Linked DNA regions of Cricetulus griseus. The protein of the gene in region 2 purifies or fractionates together with the protein of the main gene of each other region. This does not show direct contact. Links are inferred from orthologs where the notes say so. Each region holds a gene or a part of one and is shown on either strand. Other genes may lie near its edges. The genes, in order: Med9, Med12, Vdr and Cdk19.

Region 1 (4,032 bases), on a different chromosome or scaffold from region 2:
AATGGGATGGAATGCAGTCACCATCTAAGTAAGAGGTAAAGGCAGTGGGCATTTTAATGAGTATTTTTGCTCTCTTGGTTTGGGTTCTGGTACACTCACTTTTCAAAAGGAAATCACTTTGTCAAATTTCACTTTGTCTGTGTTCCTTTATGCAACACTGCAATCATTCTTTTCCCAACACTTTCTCCACTTCTTCTGTTTGGGACACTCTCTGCAGCTCAGAAGAAAACAATCCTGAGACCCATAACTAAAAACCTCAAAACACCTCCAATATTCCATTTCTGAAGATCTGGCTCCAAATGCCCTTCCCAAGGCAGCTGAAGTCAGCAACATCCCTGCTCCACTTGGGATTTGCCACTGTGAACTTCACATTCCTGTTCCTTTTTTCATGACTTATTTTTTACTTTATGTTCACTGGTGTTTGCCTGAATGTATGCCTGAGGGTATCAGAGCCCCTGGAACTGGAGTTACAGACATGTGTGAGCTGCCTTGTGAGTGATGGGAACCAAACCAGAGTCTTCTGGAAGAGCACTGAGCACTCTTAAGCACTGAGACGTCTCTCCAGCCCCTTCCTGTTCCTTTTTGAGCTCTTTGCCTCTCTTTACTGGCATGGGGGTTGAATAAGGACAGATGGCCTCTCCCAGTTGACAGCTTTCCTAATTTCTTGTCTAGAAATTTATAATACAGCTTCCATGTCATATTTTCCTTGGGAAAACATAATATCTATCAGAAGTCCCCCGCTTTTGCTTATACACATAAGTATATGGCACCTGCTAGATGCAGACTAAATGCTTGAAGAACGGTTAATTTTTCCCTCGGCAGCCATGTGGAACCTCGGCAGACAATGTGTTTGTATGGTGTGTTTTGCTGTCGCCAGTCAGGGGCCCTCCTGGAGGCTGGCAAGACACAAAGAAGCGTAGGTCCTTGTCATCAGGATGCTCGCTGCCTCAGAGCCCCATTTTCACACGGCGCTCACCGGCGTCATCCGTTCTTCCTGCCAGTCCCAGGGCGGGGACTGGCGGGGGGGGGGTCCTTGTTGGTGTTTTGACCCTTCTCTGTCATGCGAACTAGAAAAAGATGACTGAAATAGGTCCCCTACTCCTGACTGCTTAATTTAGCCGTCTGGATACCAGTCGCCTAGCAACACTTGCCCGCCTACGCCCAGCGCGCAGGCTCAGACCCTTTCCCCACCCGGCCTCCCGGGCGCACATCTGTGACGTAAGCATCCAGCGACTCTCGGCAGTACCGCACGCCTGGTACCATGGCTTCCTCCGGGGTGACCGGTGGGAGACAGGCCGAAGATACACTGCAGCCACCGCCCGAGCTGCTGCCGGAGTCCAAGCCGCTGCCGCCGCCTCAGCCTCTACCGGTCGCCGCGCTCCCGCCGCCGCCGGCTCCGCGCCCTCAGTCCCCCGCAGGCGGGAAGGAGGAGAATTACTCCTTTTTGCCGTTGGTTCACAATGTCATCAAATGGTAAGGGCCTAGGAGAGGTCAAGACACCAACTTTCCCGGCCTCTGGTGTTGCTGGTTCGGTCCGAGCAGCGGAAGCCAGCGCGCTCTGAGCCACGCCCCATTTTCCCAGAGGAGCCGCACAGTCGCCTTTTGAGTTCAGCCACCTCCCAGGCCTTGAGAGTTACACTGTGCATCCAGGTGAAGCTCACATACTGAGCAAATTCACAGGTTCTACGGTGCACTCCTCTTGTTCGCATCCCAGACCCCTCAGCGTCTTTGGGATGGGTCTCAAGTCCTTACACATATAGTCTGATGGCAACTTTTGTTTTGTTTTGTTTTTCGAGACAAGGTTTCTCTGTAGCTTTGCAGGCTGTCCTGGAACTCACTCAGACCAGGCTGGCCTTGAACTCACAGAGATCCACTTGCCTCTGCCTCCCGAGTGCTGGGATTAAAGGCATGAGCCACCACCACCTGGCTAAAGGCAATTGTTTTATTTTTCTTCCAGACAGTGTTTCTTCCCTGTGTAACAGCCCTAGCTGTCCTGGAACTTGCTTTGTAGAAGCAAGCCTAGAATTCAGAGATCGCCTACTTCTGCCTCCCGAGTGCTGGAATTAAAGGTGTATGCCACCCCTCCCGGCTACCTAAAGGCAATTTTATACAATTGACTGTTCATATGAAGCCTAGTGTGGGATTTTCCATTTGTAGCATTATGTGGTCCCCTTAAGAGTTTTCGAATATTTGTGGATTTTAGATGTGAGATTCTCACCTTGAACACAGTTCCCGTTTCAATACTAGGCAGTATCTTTACTTGTGTGGCACTGTTAAGTACTGTGGATGAACACTGGAAAGGAACCATCAGTTTACCATCACAGTAAGAAGCAGAGCAGAGAAAAACAAACATAATAGTCTATGATTTTTACAACTGGAGAGGGGTGGAGTGATGCTAGAAAACATTTGAAACAAAGACACGGAAGTTGCTCCAAATGATTATGTCCCACCCAGTATTAACTTTCAACAGAATATCCAAGGATGTGGGTGTTACCTTTCTGACCCAGAGTCTCCAGTCTCCAATCTGGCTTACATTTTTTTGTTGTTGTTGTTATTTCCATATACAGTTGTGTCACTTCCAAGAGGTGACTTGTCCTGCAAACATTCTCATCTCAAGTGTGCTTTGATAAACTTAGGTGGTGCAGGACAGTTACTCCATGGGGCCTCTTGGTGCTGTCAGGATTCTTGGTAACAGCAAGAGAGTGTTGGATGGCTTGGTGGGTGAGACTACTTGCTTGCTGTGAAAGCAAGACAATCTGAGCCTGAATCCCCAGCATCCACATAAAAAGCCACTCATGGCTGCTCATACTTGTAGCCCAGCATTTCAGGGTAGAGACAAACAGATCTTGAGAGCTCTGGCCAGCCAGCCTGGCTGAAACCGAACTTCCATTCATCATGTGACCTTGTCTCAAAGCAATAAGGTGAAGAGCAACAGAAAAAGACAACCTACCTTAGCACGACTGCCTGCACACTCAGCAGGCATTCACAGACACAAATAGCAACCCCAACGCACATATAAGGCATACCACACATACATAATAAACAAAAAAGAGTCTTGGCAGCATGGGACGTATGAAAGTTGCTGCTGGTATATTAAGACATTCTGTTAAAAGGGGGGTTTTAATTATATATTTGTTTGTTTGAGAACAGGGTTTTTGCTACAAAGCCCACACTGCCTTTGACCTTTTGATCCTCTTATCGCAGCTTCCTGAGTACTGGGGCTACAGGCGTGTACCATTACACCTAGCAACTGTGAATCTCTTAGTAGGAAGGAGTGTGCTTTAAAATCATAGTAAAAAGTTCATTATAGTAAATGCATAAACTAGTGACATCACTATTTATATCCTTATCAAGCATTAGGCACTACCTGTAATTGTATATGCTATACTTTCATATATCTGGCAAAATTATTGTGGGTTTTTTTTCACAATAGTGTAAGTGATGCATTCTGATGCAGTGTTACCACAGCTACTGTGTCACTAGGCAAAGGAAGGTTTTGGTTACATTATAACCATTAGACTATTACTGTATATATGATCTGGCATTGACCAGGTTATTCAGTGCTGACTGTATAGCTATAGGACAGTAGGTGCAAACCCCTGAACTTGTAACTTCTGCTAAACCATTAAATACTAAAAATAAATTAAGACAAGATTACAATTCCAGTTGGGCGGTGGTGGTGGTGGTTTCGCACACCTTTAATCCCAGCTCTCTGGGAGACAGAGGCAGGCAGATCTCTGTGAGTTCGAGACCAACCTGGTCTACATGAGCTAGTTCCAGGACAGCCTCCAAAGCTACAGAGAAACCCTGTCTCGAACACCCCCCCCCCAAAAAAAGATTACAATTTCAGCCATGTTTATGAACATTGGCATGCCCTTTGATGTTTCACTGATATGGAATTGCCATTTGGCTTAAAAAAAAATCTTAATAGCAGGGGCTGGAGAAGATGGCTCAGAGGTTAATAGCACTGGCTGCTATTCCAGAGGTCCTGAGTTCAATTTCCAGCAACCACATGGTGGCTTACAACCATCT
Region 2 (3,564 bases):
AGTTTATAGACAATTGTGAGCTGCCATGTGGGTGCTAGGAATCAAACCCTCTGGAAAAACAGCCCTCTGGAAGAGCAGCCAGGGAATGTTCTTAATTGCTGAGGCATTTTCCCAGACCTACCAACCACCCGTTATCAGGGTTTTCTTTTGTTGTTCTTCCTGTTATTGCCTCAGGGGTGTCTGTCTCTGCCTGGTCTAAGAGCGCCATTACTGAGATGTGTCCCTATCTCTTTTGTCCGTCTTGTGTTCTGCTAACTTATCTCTCCTCATTCCCTCTTTCTAGCTGATCCCCGCAGTGAGAGTGAACGAGTGGAATTCTTTAATCTAGTACTGCTGTTCTGTGAACTGATCCGACACGATGTTTTCTCGCACAACATGTACACCTGCACTCTCATCTCTCGGGGAGATCTTGCTTTTGGAGCCCCTGGTCCTCGGCCTCCCTCTCCCTTTGATGATCCTGCGGATGACCCAGAGCGCAAGGAGACTGAAGGCAGCAGCAGTAGCAAGCTAGAGGTGTGTGTCCTTTTCATTGCTCTTAATTATTACTTTTGACGTTCCCATTTTTACAGCTTCTAGAAGCCTCTGAGCATCTCTTGTACCCAAGAATAATGGTATTTTCTCAGAACTTCATGATTTATAGAATAGTCTCATGTCAGTTTTTCACTTAATCTTCAGAAAAGGCTTGTGAGGTACTTCTCCTGCTTTCCATTTAAAGGTGATGGAAACTGAGGCTTTGCCTACTGGTTAAGTAAATGAACAAGGTTTGAATCCATAACTTGGGCTTTCCTCATGCCCCCTTGATCCAGTTGTTTTTTTTTTTTTTTTTGGTGTTTTTTTTTTTTTTTTTTTTTTTTTTTTTGGTTTTTCGAGACAGGGTTTCTCTGTGTAGCTTTGGAGCCTATCCTGGCACTCGCTCTGGAGACCAGGCTGGCCTCCAACTCACAGAGATCTGCCTGTCTCTGCCTCCCGAGTGCTGGGATTAAAGGTGTGCGCCACCAACGCCTGGCCTTGATCCAGTTCTTAATGAACTTTCCTGGACAGTGAGGAAGCACTTCCAGGACCAAGGCAGCTCTTGATTTGTTGTGTGCCTGCAGGATCCAGGGCTCTCTGAATCTATGGACATAGACCCTAGTTCCAGTGTGCTTTTTGAAGACATGGAGAAGCCCGATTTCTCAGTAAGATCCCAAGCATGGAAGAATCCAGCACCTTGGTTCTCCCCTTATGCCTCCTTTTGGAATTTCTTTATGCCTCCTTTTGCTTCTCCTGAATGTTCTGCCCTTTCACCCTCTTAGTTGTTCTCCCCTACTATGCCTTGTGAGGGGAAGGGAAGCCCATCCCCTGAGAAACCAGATGTCGAAAAGGAAGTGAAACCCCCACCCAAAGAGAAGATGGAGGGGACACTTGGGGTTCTTTATGACCAGCCACGACATGTGCAGTATGCCACACACTTTCCAATCCCACAGGTACTGTTGTCCAACATTTGTGATAGTCTGCTTTGAGCCCAGATTTCCATCCAAGGAGTTTGCTGAGGGGCTAGACCAGTTCCCCAGGGTGTGGGTGTGTTTGAGAAGGGGCTTGAACGTGGGAGCTTTGAGAGATACAAAGCATGCTCTTAAGAGGAGGGCAGGAGACCCATGATGGAATCTGATGGTGCTGCCGGGATGCAGGAGGAGTCATGCAGCCATGAGTGCAACCAGCGGTTGGTCGTACTGTTTGGGGTGGGGAAGCAGCGAGATGATGCCCGCCATGCCATCAAGAAGATTACCAAGGATATCCTGAAGGTTCTGAACCGCAAGGGAACAGCAGAAACTGGTGGGTTTGAGTCTCCTTAAACAGAAGTCTCCCCAAAGAATGCCCTAGTCAGTCTTCCCATGCCCAGTGTAGGGCACTCCCCAGTCATGTCCCAATGTCCTGTCTCTTGGAGTCTCCTGAGAGCTCTAGTCCTTTTGAAACTTCCCCCTCATTCCCCCCCTCTACAGACCAGCTTGCTCCTATTGTGCCTCTGAATCCTGGAGACCTGACATTCTTAGGTACCTCACAGTAAGCCCCTTACTGCCCTCCCCCTACCCCCTTAACCTAGCGCCTCCCTGTACACATTCCTCAGAGGTCCACATAGTCTGTGGCCCTTTAAACCTGTGCTTCATTGTCCCGTTTATCCCTACCCAAGCCCTTCCTTGACCACCCTTCCCTTCTCTTCTCCTTCCCTCCTTCCCTTTTCCCCTCCTCCCTCCCTACCATAGTCCGTTCGCCACACCCCTACCCCAGCCCCTAGTCAACTGGTTTTCTTTCATTGTCCTGACTCATTGCTTTCAACTGTCCGCTCAGGTGGGGAAGATGGGCAGAAGCGACGCCGCAACCGGCCGGAAGCCTTCCCCACTGCTGAAGATATTTTTGCTAAGTTCCAGCACCTTTCTCATTATGACCAACACCAGGTCACGGCTCAGGTGTGGGCCTAAGCCAGCCCCCTTCCCATTCTGGCCTCTTTTCCTCTTTTCCTTTTTGTTTTATCTTCCCCCCCCCTACTAAACAGGCTAAGCCTGCTGGTCTCATCCCCTTCCACCATCACCCTTTCCTGCTTCCCTAGGTCTTCTTTCCTTCCATTCCTGTCTCACTCCTACTGCCCTTATCAGGTCTCCCGGAATGTTCTGGAGCAGATCACGAGCTTTGCCCTTGGCATGTCATACCACTTGCCTCTGGTGCAGCATGTGCAGTTCATCTTCGACCTCATGGAATATTCACTGAGCATCAGTGGCCTCATCGACTTTGCCATTCAGGTGGGGAAGTTGGGCCAGATAAGGGCGGAAGAAGGAATTCATGCTCTATAGGGTCATGAAGAGGAGTAGAGGCTCCAGCCAGTTTCCTAGGCTATTTGGATGGCTGAAAGACTAGCACAGTGGGAGTGGAACATGATCTAAGACTGCTGGAATAGAGGTTTAAGTGCTCCCTGGGGAGGCCCAAGAGACAGATTAGAGCTTTGGGTACAGACCATCCTCCCCCTGTGGAGTTTATAGCATGCTGTCCTGGAGACTGCTTAGAGATACTGCTAGTAGAGTGCGACACTGGTACATGGTAACCTGACCCTTCTGTGCTGAAGTGGCTGCAGCAGGAAGGAGCTCAGGCTTGGCCATGTCAAGTTCCTTCCAGAAAGTGGGGTTATGGCCAATGAAAGGGGCCTCTTATGTTTCACCTCCATGTCTCTGATAGTTGCTGAATGAGCTGAGCGTGGTTGAGGCCGAGCTCCTTCTCAAATCTTCTGATCTGGTGGGCAGCTACACAACCAGCCTATGCTTATGTATCGTGGCTGTCCTGCGACACTATCATGCCTGCCTCATCCTCAACCAGGACCAGATGGCACAAGTGTTTGAGGGGTAAGCAGGGTTCTGGTAAATGCCAGTTGTTAATGGCCTAGGAAGGATCGTTATACATGGGTCCACACAGTGGGGCAGAGTCTGCTGCTAAGGTATGGGTAGGAATAGCTGTACCAAGACACTTGAATTTATTTCCAGGGCTTTTGTGCCCTGGGCCATGTATACCCCTGTTGATCCTCCCTACCCTGCCTCTGTG
Region 3 (3,564 bases), on a different chromosome or scaffold from region 2:
TGTAGAAAACCCAGTTTCCTCCATTTCATGGCGTGGGAGCTAACATAACATGGTGGCTAGGTCCCACGGAGCTCCCCTCTGCCCTGCTTCCCCCCTCCACCCCGCCCCCACCGTGTAAGGAACTGACTAGCCCCTCCCATGCCAGTCCTTTTGTTGTGGAGGAAGCACTCCCGGAGGGAGGGATTTGGGGCCATCCCTCAGGACTTGCTTTCTTGCCCCCACAGTCATCCTAACAGATGAGGAGGTGCAGCGTAAGAGGGAGATGATCATGAAGCGAAAGGAGGAAGAAGCCTTGAAGGACAGTCTGAGGCCCAAGCTATCCGAGGAACAGCAGCGCATTATAGCCATCCTGCTGGATGCCCACCACAAGACCTATGACCCCACCTATGCTGACTTCAGGGATTTCAGGGTATGTCTGCTGGCCCAGGGCTTGAGAATCAGATATAGCCTAGGCATGGGGAGCCCGGATGGAGGGTCAGGGAGGAGCTGGGAAGATATGGAGGCCATGCTGTCCCCTGTGAGCCGTTCCCCTTGCAGACCTTCCCTGAAACCTTTGTTCTCAGAGGCAGGAGAATAGCCCCCAAATAGGGACCTCTGAGAACCCATCTTTGCCTTCCAGCCTCCAGTTCGTATGGATGGGAGTGAAAGGAGCTATCCTGCAGGGCCCACACTCAGCTTCTCCGGGGATTCCTCCTCCTCCAGCTCCGATCTGTACACAACGTCACTGGGTAAGGAGCCCTTCACCCAAGCAAACTGGGGGGAAAGTGTCCACCTCCACTCGCTCTTAGGCTATAGGGAAGGGACAGAAATCTCCTATTTGCATACGGTGTGTGGGATACAGCCCTTCTTTCATGGAAAGAGGGCTGGCTTGTGAAAGATGTGTGCTGGGAAGAGACCAAGCTGGGCTTCTGGCTGCACAGATGGGCCCTCTGGGTCCAGGCTCAGCCTCTGAGCTAAGCTCTGTCCTTAACTTCTTCCCTGGAATGACCTGGAGGTCACTCACTGCTCAAGGTGTTGGTCCTGGACTCTTTGGAAGGTGAAACTGATGTGGGAAGATGACCTATGATGCCAAGGGCCCTATGGCCTGAGTACTGGGGGGACTGAGCACCATCGCCTTGGACAACCTGTCGCCTTCAACTTCTGAGTTTGTGCTTTTCTGCTTTGGGTTCTCTTACATGTACATCTTCATCATCCTGCCTCGTCCTTCCTTCTTGCTCTATCTCTCACCAGTTCTGGTGTCCTCCTCTCAGGACCTGGAAGAAGGTGGGGATGGGACCCCCCTCTCCCTGCCCGCCTCACACATGTGTGCACATTCTGGGTAACCACAGTCTTGACCTTCACTTAGGACTCTGGCACACCTCTGGATGGATTGAAACTGGGTGCTAGTGCCAAGTGGACTGAGATAACTGCGCAGACAGTGCCTACCTACCAGAAATGAAGAGAGGGAAGTGGTCAAACACGAAAGAAAAGCGCTGGGCATGGCTGTGACTGGCACTCCCTTCCCTCCCCTCACTGGGATCCCCCTCCAGCCAGTATTCATTCTGCTTTCCATAGATGATGTAGTCATTGTCCTAGCTATGGACAAACAGTACTTCAGCTTTTTGTAATCATGTATGCCCATTAGGTGATTCTATTATTCTTTATTTTATTTGTTTATTTTTAAATTTTTCTTTTTTTTAAAACCAGTTTTATTTCATGTGCAATGGTGTGAGGATGCCAGATCCCCTGGAACTAGAGTCACAGACAGTTGTGAGCTGCTATGTGGGTGCTGGGAATTGAACCCGGGTCCTCTGCAAGGATAGCCAATGCTATTAACCACTGAGCCATCTCTCTAGCCCCTCTTTATTTTATTTTGCGATAGGGTGTTACTATATAACATTGGCTGTCCTGGAGACCAGGCTGGCCTGGAACTCATAGGAGATCACTTGCCTTCTGGGTGCTGGGGAATTTTAAACTTTTCATAAGTTCATTGGTCCAAGATCCTTATACCCACCAATGTGTATTCACATAGTATGTTTACAAACTCAGAAAGGTAAAATGATGTTAATTAAAAATTGTTATACAGAAGTAATACACATTCACCATAGCTATTTAGAAAATGTAGGTGAATACATTTTGTTGCATAATATAATCTTTGATCCTAATGTTCAAAGGAAATTACTGTTAACCCCTTGATATGTCTTTCTGATTCCCTTCAGAAATGGAATTGTGTTATGTAGCCTGATGATTCGTGGCCCTTCTCTTTTTTCATTTTATTTTAAAAAAAAAAAAGAAATATCAAAATCCCCTATTGTTGGATATCTATATTGCTTCCCAGTTTTTTTTAGTGTTTCTCCTGATAAATATTTATACTTAATCCAATTTTTTTCTTATAATGAATCCGTGGAAGTGGGATCACTACACACATAATGATAAGATCTCTCTCTCCTGGGGTTCCATCCTCTTGTCTTCACCTCTTGAGAGCTGGTATTACAGGAGCACATGACCACACTCAGCAACTGAAGGCTTTTCACTCCTGGTTTCAAGTAGTTTTTTAGATGACCTGCATAGCCACACATCTGCAGCACCTTTACCTGCGTAAGACTCTCTTCAATGCTTCAGTCTTTACAAATGCCAGCATCCATTTTATATTTGTCTTCAGTGTGTAGTTGGAAAATGTAAATATTCTCTACCTTGTAGGAAGTGAGCTTTTTGCCCCATGGGTTAAGGAAGTCAGCTTTTGCCCCTGGGTTGAGGGGTCCCAAACATGGTTTTAATTGAGTTATTAGGAAGACTGCATGCTTTGCAAAATTATAGATAAAAAGGACTTTTTTCCAGACTATCTCTGGCTTCTTGGATTTACTGCCTCAAAGAGCTAAAATAAGAGATGGGGAGAGACCCAGAGGGAGCCTGGGTAGGAAGAGGGACTCTGGGAGAAAGCAGTCACTATGAGGTGACTTTGCCTCAGGTCCTCACAGGAGGGCCTGGCCGGGGTGTCCCTAAGTAGTTCCCTCTCTTTCGTCATCTTCCCCAGACATGATGGAACCATCCAATTTTTCCAACCTGGATCTGAATGAAGAGGACTCTGATGACCCTTTGGTGAGCCTGGATCTGTCCCAGCTCTCCATGTTGCCACACTTAGCGGACCTGGTCAGCTATAGCATCCAAAAGGTCATCGGCTTTGCCAAGATGATACCAGGATTCAGGTAAGAAGCTCTTGTGGTGTGCTGGGAAACTGTCAGGATCCTATGTGGTACTAGACAATATCTGGCTTCCCCCAATGACAGCCTCAGGCTCATCCCAGAGGGCTTACACCAGGACCTCTGGGCCAGTCCAGGACTGTCCTTTAGCACATGTAGCTGCCCAGTATTATTTTGAGAGACTTCTGAGAGCAGCTCTGCTGCTCACTTTCTGGGTGATGAAATGACATCCTACTGAGGTTTCATGACCAGCTAGGATCCTTTTAGGGCATCAGAACCAGATCAAGGAGCCCTAGCTACCTGCAGCTGGCTCCCACTGCTGCCTTGAAACTAGTTCTCACGTCATCCATTTAGATTCAACCTACAAGGTTCCTGCACACCCAAT
Region 4 (4,028 bases), on a different chromosome or scaffold from region 2:
AATGAAAAGAAATTTTTAACAATATTCCTTTATTATAAGTATTCCTAACTAGAAAAAATATTGCCTCAGACTTGTCACTATAAACTTTTATGTTCCACTTTTTTTGAGACAGGGCCTCACATACCCCAGACTGGCTGGAACTTGTGTATAGCCAAGTATGGCCTTGAACCTCTGGTCTGCCTGGCTCCACTTCCTAAATGTTGGGATTAAATCAAGGCCAGTTTATGTGGCGTGCAACCCATATTCTAAGCGGGGTTTTCTTTGGTTTTGGGGTTGGGGAGGTTGTCTGTTTGGTTTTGAGTTTTTGTTGTTTGGTTTTGTTTCTCAAGACAAGGTTTCTCTGTGTTGCCCTAGCTGTCCTGGAATTGTAGACCCAGTTGACTTCAAACTCAGAGAGATCAGCCTGCCTCTGCCTCTGGCTCTAAATGGATTTTGTTTTTTTGGTTTTTGGGGTTTTTTTTTTTGGGGGGGGGGGTTGCTGTTGTTTTTAAAATCTACTTTGAAAATACAAAAGTTGACTTTATTTTATTTACTCTAATTTACCAGTTTCACTCAAGGAAAAAGTGTATTTGAATCAAGATCTTTATTAGAGAGACACACTGGGAAACAAACAGAACAAGGCACTATGTTTTGTTGCAAGCCCAGCCATTCAATTCAATTCAGAAGCAGAATTATTTTTAACTTCTCTCAGTTTCCAGGCAAAATAAAAATATTTCAAATTTAAAACTTTTTTTTTTAAATTCTAGATGAAGTGTACTACAAAGTTAGCTTGGGGAGAGAGGGGATCCACCTCGGTTATTTTATAACAACAATGTCCAATAGTAGCAATGGATTTGCTTTCCCCAATCATCCCTGTAAAGACTCCCACTGGAATACCAATTTAAAAAGTACTGTGGATACTCCAAAAACAAAGCACAACTCGATTACAGCACCTATAGCCCCAGGAGAGCCCTCAAGGACACATGGTAATTAAAAGAAACAACTCCTTCAACTGAGTAACTTGACCTCTACAGTTGTACCTACAACAGTAATCATCATCCTTGAAACCTGGACAGTTCTTGTAATTTTCAGAGCACTGTATATGAAACACTTCACACGATGTGTTTTGTTTTTCCTCTTACAATAAAATCAGCACATACTACTTTGATGCTGGAGTTCCGTCACCCAGCCAATCAAATTACAGCAGTGCAAGAAGGAACCCTAAGTAGCACTTCAAATCTAAAGTGTGGTGACAATCTGCTTATCAAAAATGCTCCAACACGATCCTAAAAACTCTCTTTTGTATAGTCTGACACTCCTTAGGGTCGGTTGGAGACTTTCTTTCCAAGTTCCAGAACCTAGCAAAAAGGAATTCCTTCCAGGATGGGACCAAGGAAACAACCGGCTTTAAAACCCACCATTCCTAGGCCAGAAGCGGGTTCCATCCGTCCTGCTCTGGCCCAAAGAAGACATTCTCGATGCATTATTATTAATATAACAATCAAATAATGCTCCCCAAGAGATTCCTATAAATTCCCTCAACTCCTAAGAACCGGTGGTTCAGGCCTGGGTCTGTCACTCCGTTTTCTGTTCTTGATGGTCTAGGTTTTCGATAAACACAACCAAAGCACGCAGCCATTTGACAAGAGGATGGGAAATGGAGGATATAATACTCAATATTTCTTCCTGAAGAAAAAAAAGGGGGGTAGCACATGTCCTTAATCACAGTACCTGAGAGGCAGAGGCAGGCGGATCTCTGAGTTCCAGGCCAGCCAGGAGAGCAGAGACCCTGTCTTAAAAAAAAAAAAGGGGGGGGGGGTAGGCGGTACCCAAGATAGCCAAGAGGAAGAAAAGGTAGGCACCAAAGAACACTAACATTTAATCTCTCCAGGGTCCACCTTCAGAGTGCTAAACTCAGAATGTTAGCATGTGGAATCGGGAGCAGGTGAGCAATCAGGGATGCAGACTGGGTTGGCAGCATCCAGAGTCAGACCCCAGGGGCCCGCCAGGACCCTCAGCGCGCTGCCGCCACACGGGCGGCGCCCCCGCGAGCTTTCAAACCGCCGCCCCGGGAAGGCGCTGCGCCGATTGGGAAGTTCTTCCACGACCGTCACCAGCACAGGGCCATAGCGGTAACTCTTCAGCCAAGCCCTCCCAGACCTCTCCGAGTCCCCGGGGACCAGACCTCCAAACTCCACCTCCAGGCGCGGTCTCCACCAGGTCGTCGCCCGCTGTAAGCACGCAGCGGCGACTCGCGGCGGGACCGACGCCCCCCGACGGGGCTGCGCCGAGCGACTTGGAGGGGCGCGACCGGCCAGCGGGGGGCGGCAGCACGAGTGCCTCCGGCTCGCCCCCGGGACGCCGCTCCGCGACCCACGCCACCTCGCCCCGTGGGCTCCGACCCACCCAGCCCTGCGGGTCTCCCAGCGGCGGGGACCGGACGAGCCCACTCCCCCGCCCGCGCTCTTACCCATCTTTCCGCCTCGCCTTGTAGACGTGCCCATAGGTGCCGCGTCCCACTTTGCACCCTTCGTACTCAAACAGATCCTCCACCCGCTCCCGCTCCGCCGCCAGCTTCGCCTTGAAATCATAATCCATTGTCTGCTTCCCCCATAGAGAAACCGGGACGCGGGGGCCGCCGCCACTCAGTCCCTCCGCCGCCGCCGCTCCACTTCTCCAACAGCCGCCGCTCGGGCGCGCGCGCGCCGCCCGCCGCTCCGCAGTCCGCCTTCAGCAAGGGACTCCTCGGCGGCCGAGGCAGCCACCTCCTCCGCCTCCTCCTCCTCCGCGGCGGCGGCGGAGGCTCCCGCAGGCACCCACAGTCCCGCCTCCCCCCTTCATTTCCTTGTTTTGGAACCTGGTGGGCCGCGCCGCGGCTTTCTCGAACTCATTAACAAGCCAAGCGGCCCGCCCCGAGGTGGCGGGGGATCCTGGGAAATGTGGTTTAACAGGCCTCGGGAACCGTGCTAGTTCCTCGGAGGTAAGGAATACAGTTCCCAGGGTTCCTTGGGCCATTTCGGCCACGCCTCCACAAGGCAAAAACGCCTGCGCACAGTCTCCGCCCCACCCCCTCAGGTAGCCCGCGACTCGCTGTTCCCGTAAACTATAGCGCGAAGTTGCAGCGAGCTTTCTGCAAGCCCGTGGGAGCTTGTGGGAGGGAAGCCTTTGCTCTGCTGGAAAGGAGATAACCGGCTCTGGCTGTCCCTGGGCGAAGGGAGCTGGAAGCACCTCACGAGCGCCTAGTGCCGGAGCTCATTCCGGGGCATCCGGAGCCGAGGACCGGGGTTTCGACAGTTGTACTACACATTGTTTGTTTTCTTGGGCAATTGATCCTCCCGTTGCCCCGCCCCTGGCCGCGGCTTATTGGCAGAGGCTGAAGAATGACGTCCTCGTGGGTGCATGGGTATCTCCGGCTTTGGCTTCTTTCCCGCTCTTGATTGGTAATTGGATGTGCTCGGTTCTTCCTGATAGGTTAGTCTTTTTTCTTTACGATGCAAAAACCGTATTTCAAAACCTGAACATTCAGCGGTTTCCCAGCTCTTGCTAGGGGAACCGTGTAACTTCTCGGGCCCACAGCCAATTATCTTTTTCTTGGCGCTCCAGTCGGGTTTTATCCTAGCATATGCGGGGTGCGGTAGCCGAGCTTTAACCATCTGTCTGAGAACAATTAAAGTGCCTGGAAGATTGGAAAATGCAGCGTTTTAAAAACAATCATTTTTGCTGGGTTGTAAAGCGTTTTTACAGTATATGCATAATAGTGAGACTCACCTAGGGGTTTTAAGAAATTTATCTTAATCATGACTTTGATTCGTTTTGATGTCTGGGGCTCAGGACACGTCGGCTCAAAATATGTAAGAGCCTAGAAAGTGCCACGCTAAAAATGTGTCCCTCTGCGTGTTGATTATTTTTAAACTAAAAGAAATGGAGATCCATCCAACACACGAGTTTCAGCTCCCTTCCACTACCCAAAATAAAATATAAGGGAACATTTTTTGTAAAGAGAATGTTAAATTTGTAAGAGAAATTTTATAGGGTATCTTTATCAGTAA

The links.
Region 1: the proteins of Med12 (region 2) and Med9 purify together in Homo sapiens (affinity purification with mass spectrometry; 6 studies listed by BioGRID and IntAct, with this or other methods). This does not show direct contact. The link is inferred for Cricetulus griseus from reciprocal best matches to the Homo sapiens genes MED12 and MED9.
Region 3: the proteins of Med12 (region 2) and Vdr purify together in Homo sapiens (affinity purification with mass spectrometry; 3 studies listed by BioGRID, with this or other methods). This does not show direct contact. The link is inferred for Cricetulus griseus from reciprocal best matches to the Homo sapiens genes MED12 and VDR.
Region 4: the proteins of Med12 (region 2) and Cdk19 purify together in Homo sapiens (affinity purification with mass spectrometry; 10 studies listed by BioGRID and IntAct, counting the BioPlex papers as one, with this or other methods). This does not show direct contact. The link is inferred for Cricetulus griseus from reciprocal best matches to the Homo sapiens genes MED12 and CDK19.

Annotation. Positions count from the first base shown.
Region 1 is NC_048600.1:74,064,871-74,068,902, forward strand, and holds the start of Med9 (mediator of RNA polymerase II transcription subunit 9), read left to right. Parts: upstream 1-1,225; 5' UTR 1,226-1,261; coding exon 1,262-1,473; intron 1,474-4,032.
Region 2 is NC_048604.1:68,969,480-68,973,043, reverse strand, and holds part of Med12 (mediator of RNA polymerase II transcription subunit 12), read left to right. Parts: intron 1-283; coding exon 284-513; intron 514-1,094; coding exon 1,095-1,175; intron 1,176-1,292; coding exon 1,293-1,463; intron 1,464-1,667; coding exon 1,668-1,812; intron 1,813-1,979; coding exon 1,980-2,030; intron 2,031-2,325; coding exon 2,326-2,444; intron 2,445-2,630; coding exon 2,631-2,774; intron 2,775-3,204; coding exon 3,205-3,368; intron 3,369-3,564. UniProt on the Homo sapiens protein: Component of the Mediator complex, a coactivator involved in the regulated transcription of nearly all RNA polymerase II-dependent genes.
Region 3 is NC_048595.1:394,362,666-394,366,229, reverse strand, and holds part of Vdr (vitamin D3 receptor), read left to right. Parts: intron 1-224; coding exon 225-409; intron 410-619; coding exon 620-728; intron 729-3,013; coding exon 3,014-3,185; intron 3,186-3,564.
Region 4 is NC_048595.1:262,901,149-262,905,176, reverse strand, and holds the start of Cdk19 (cyclin-dependent kinase 19), read right to left. Parts: upstream 2,831-4,028; 5' UTR 2,578-2,830; coding exon 2,450-2,577; intron 1-2,449.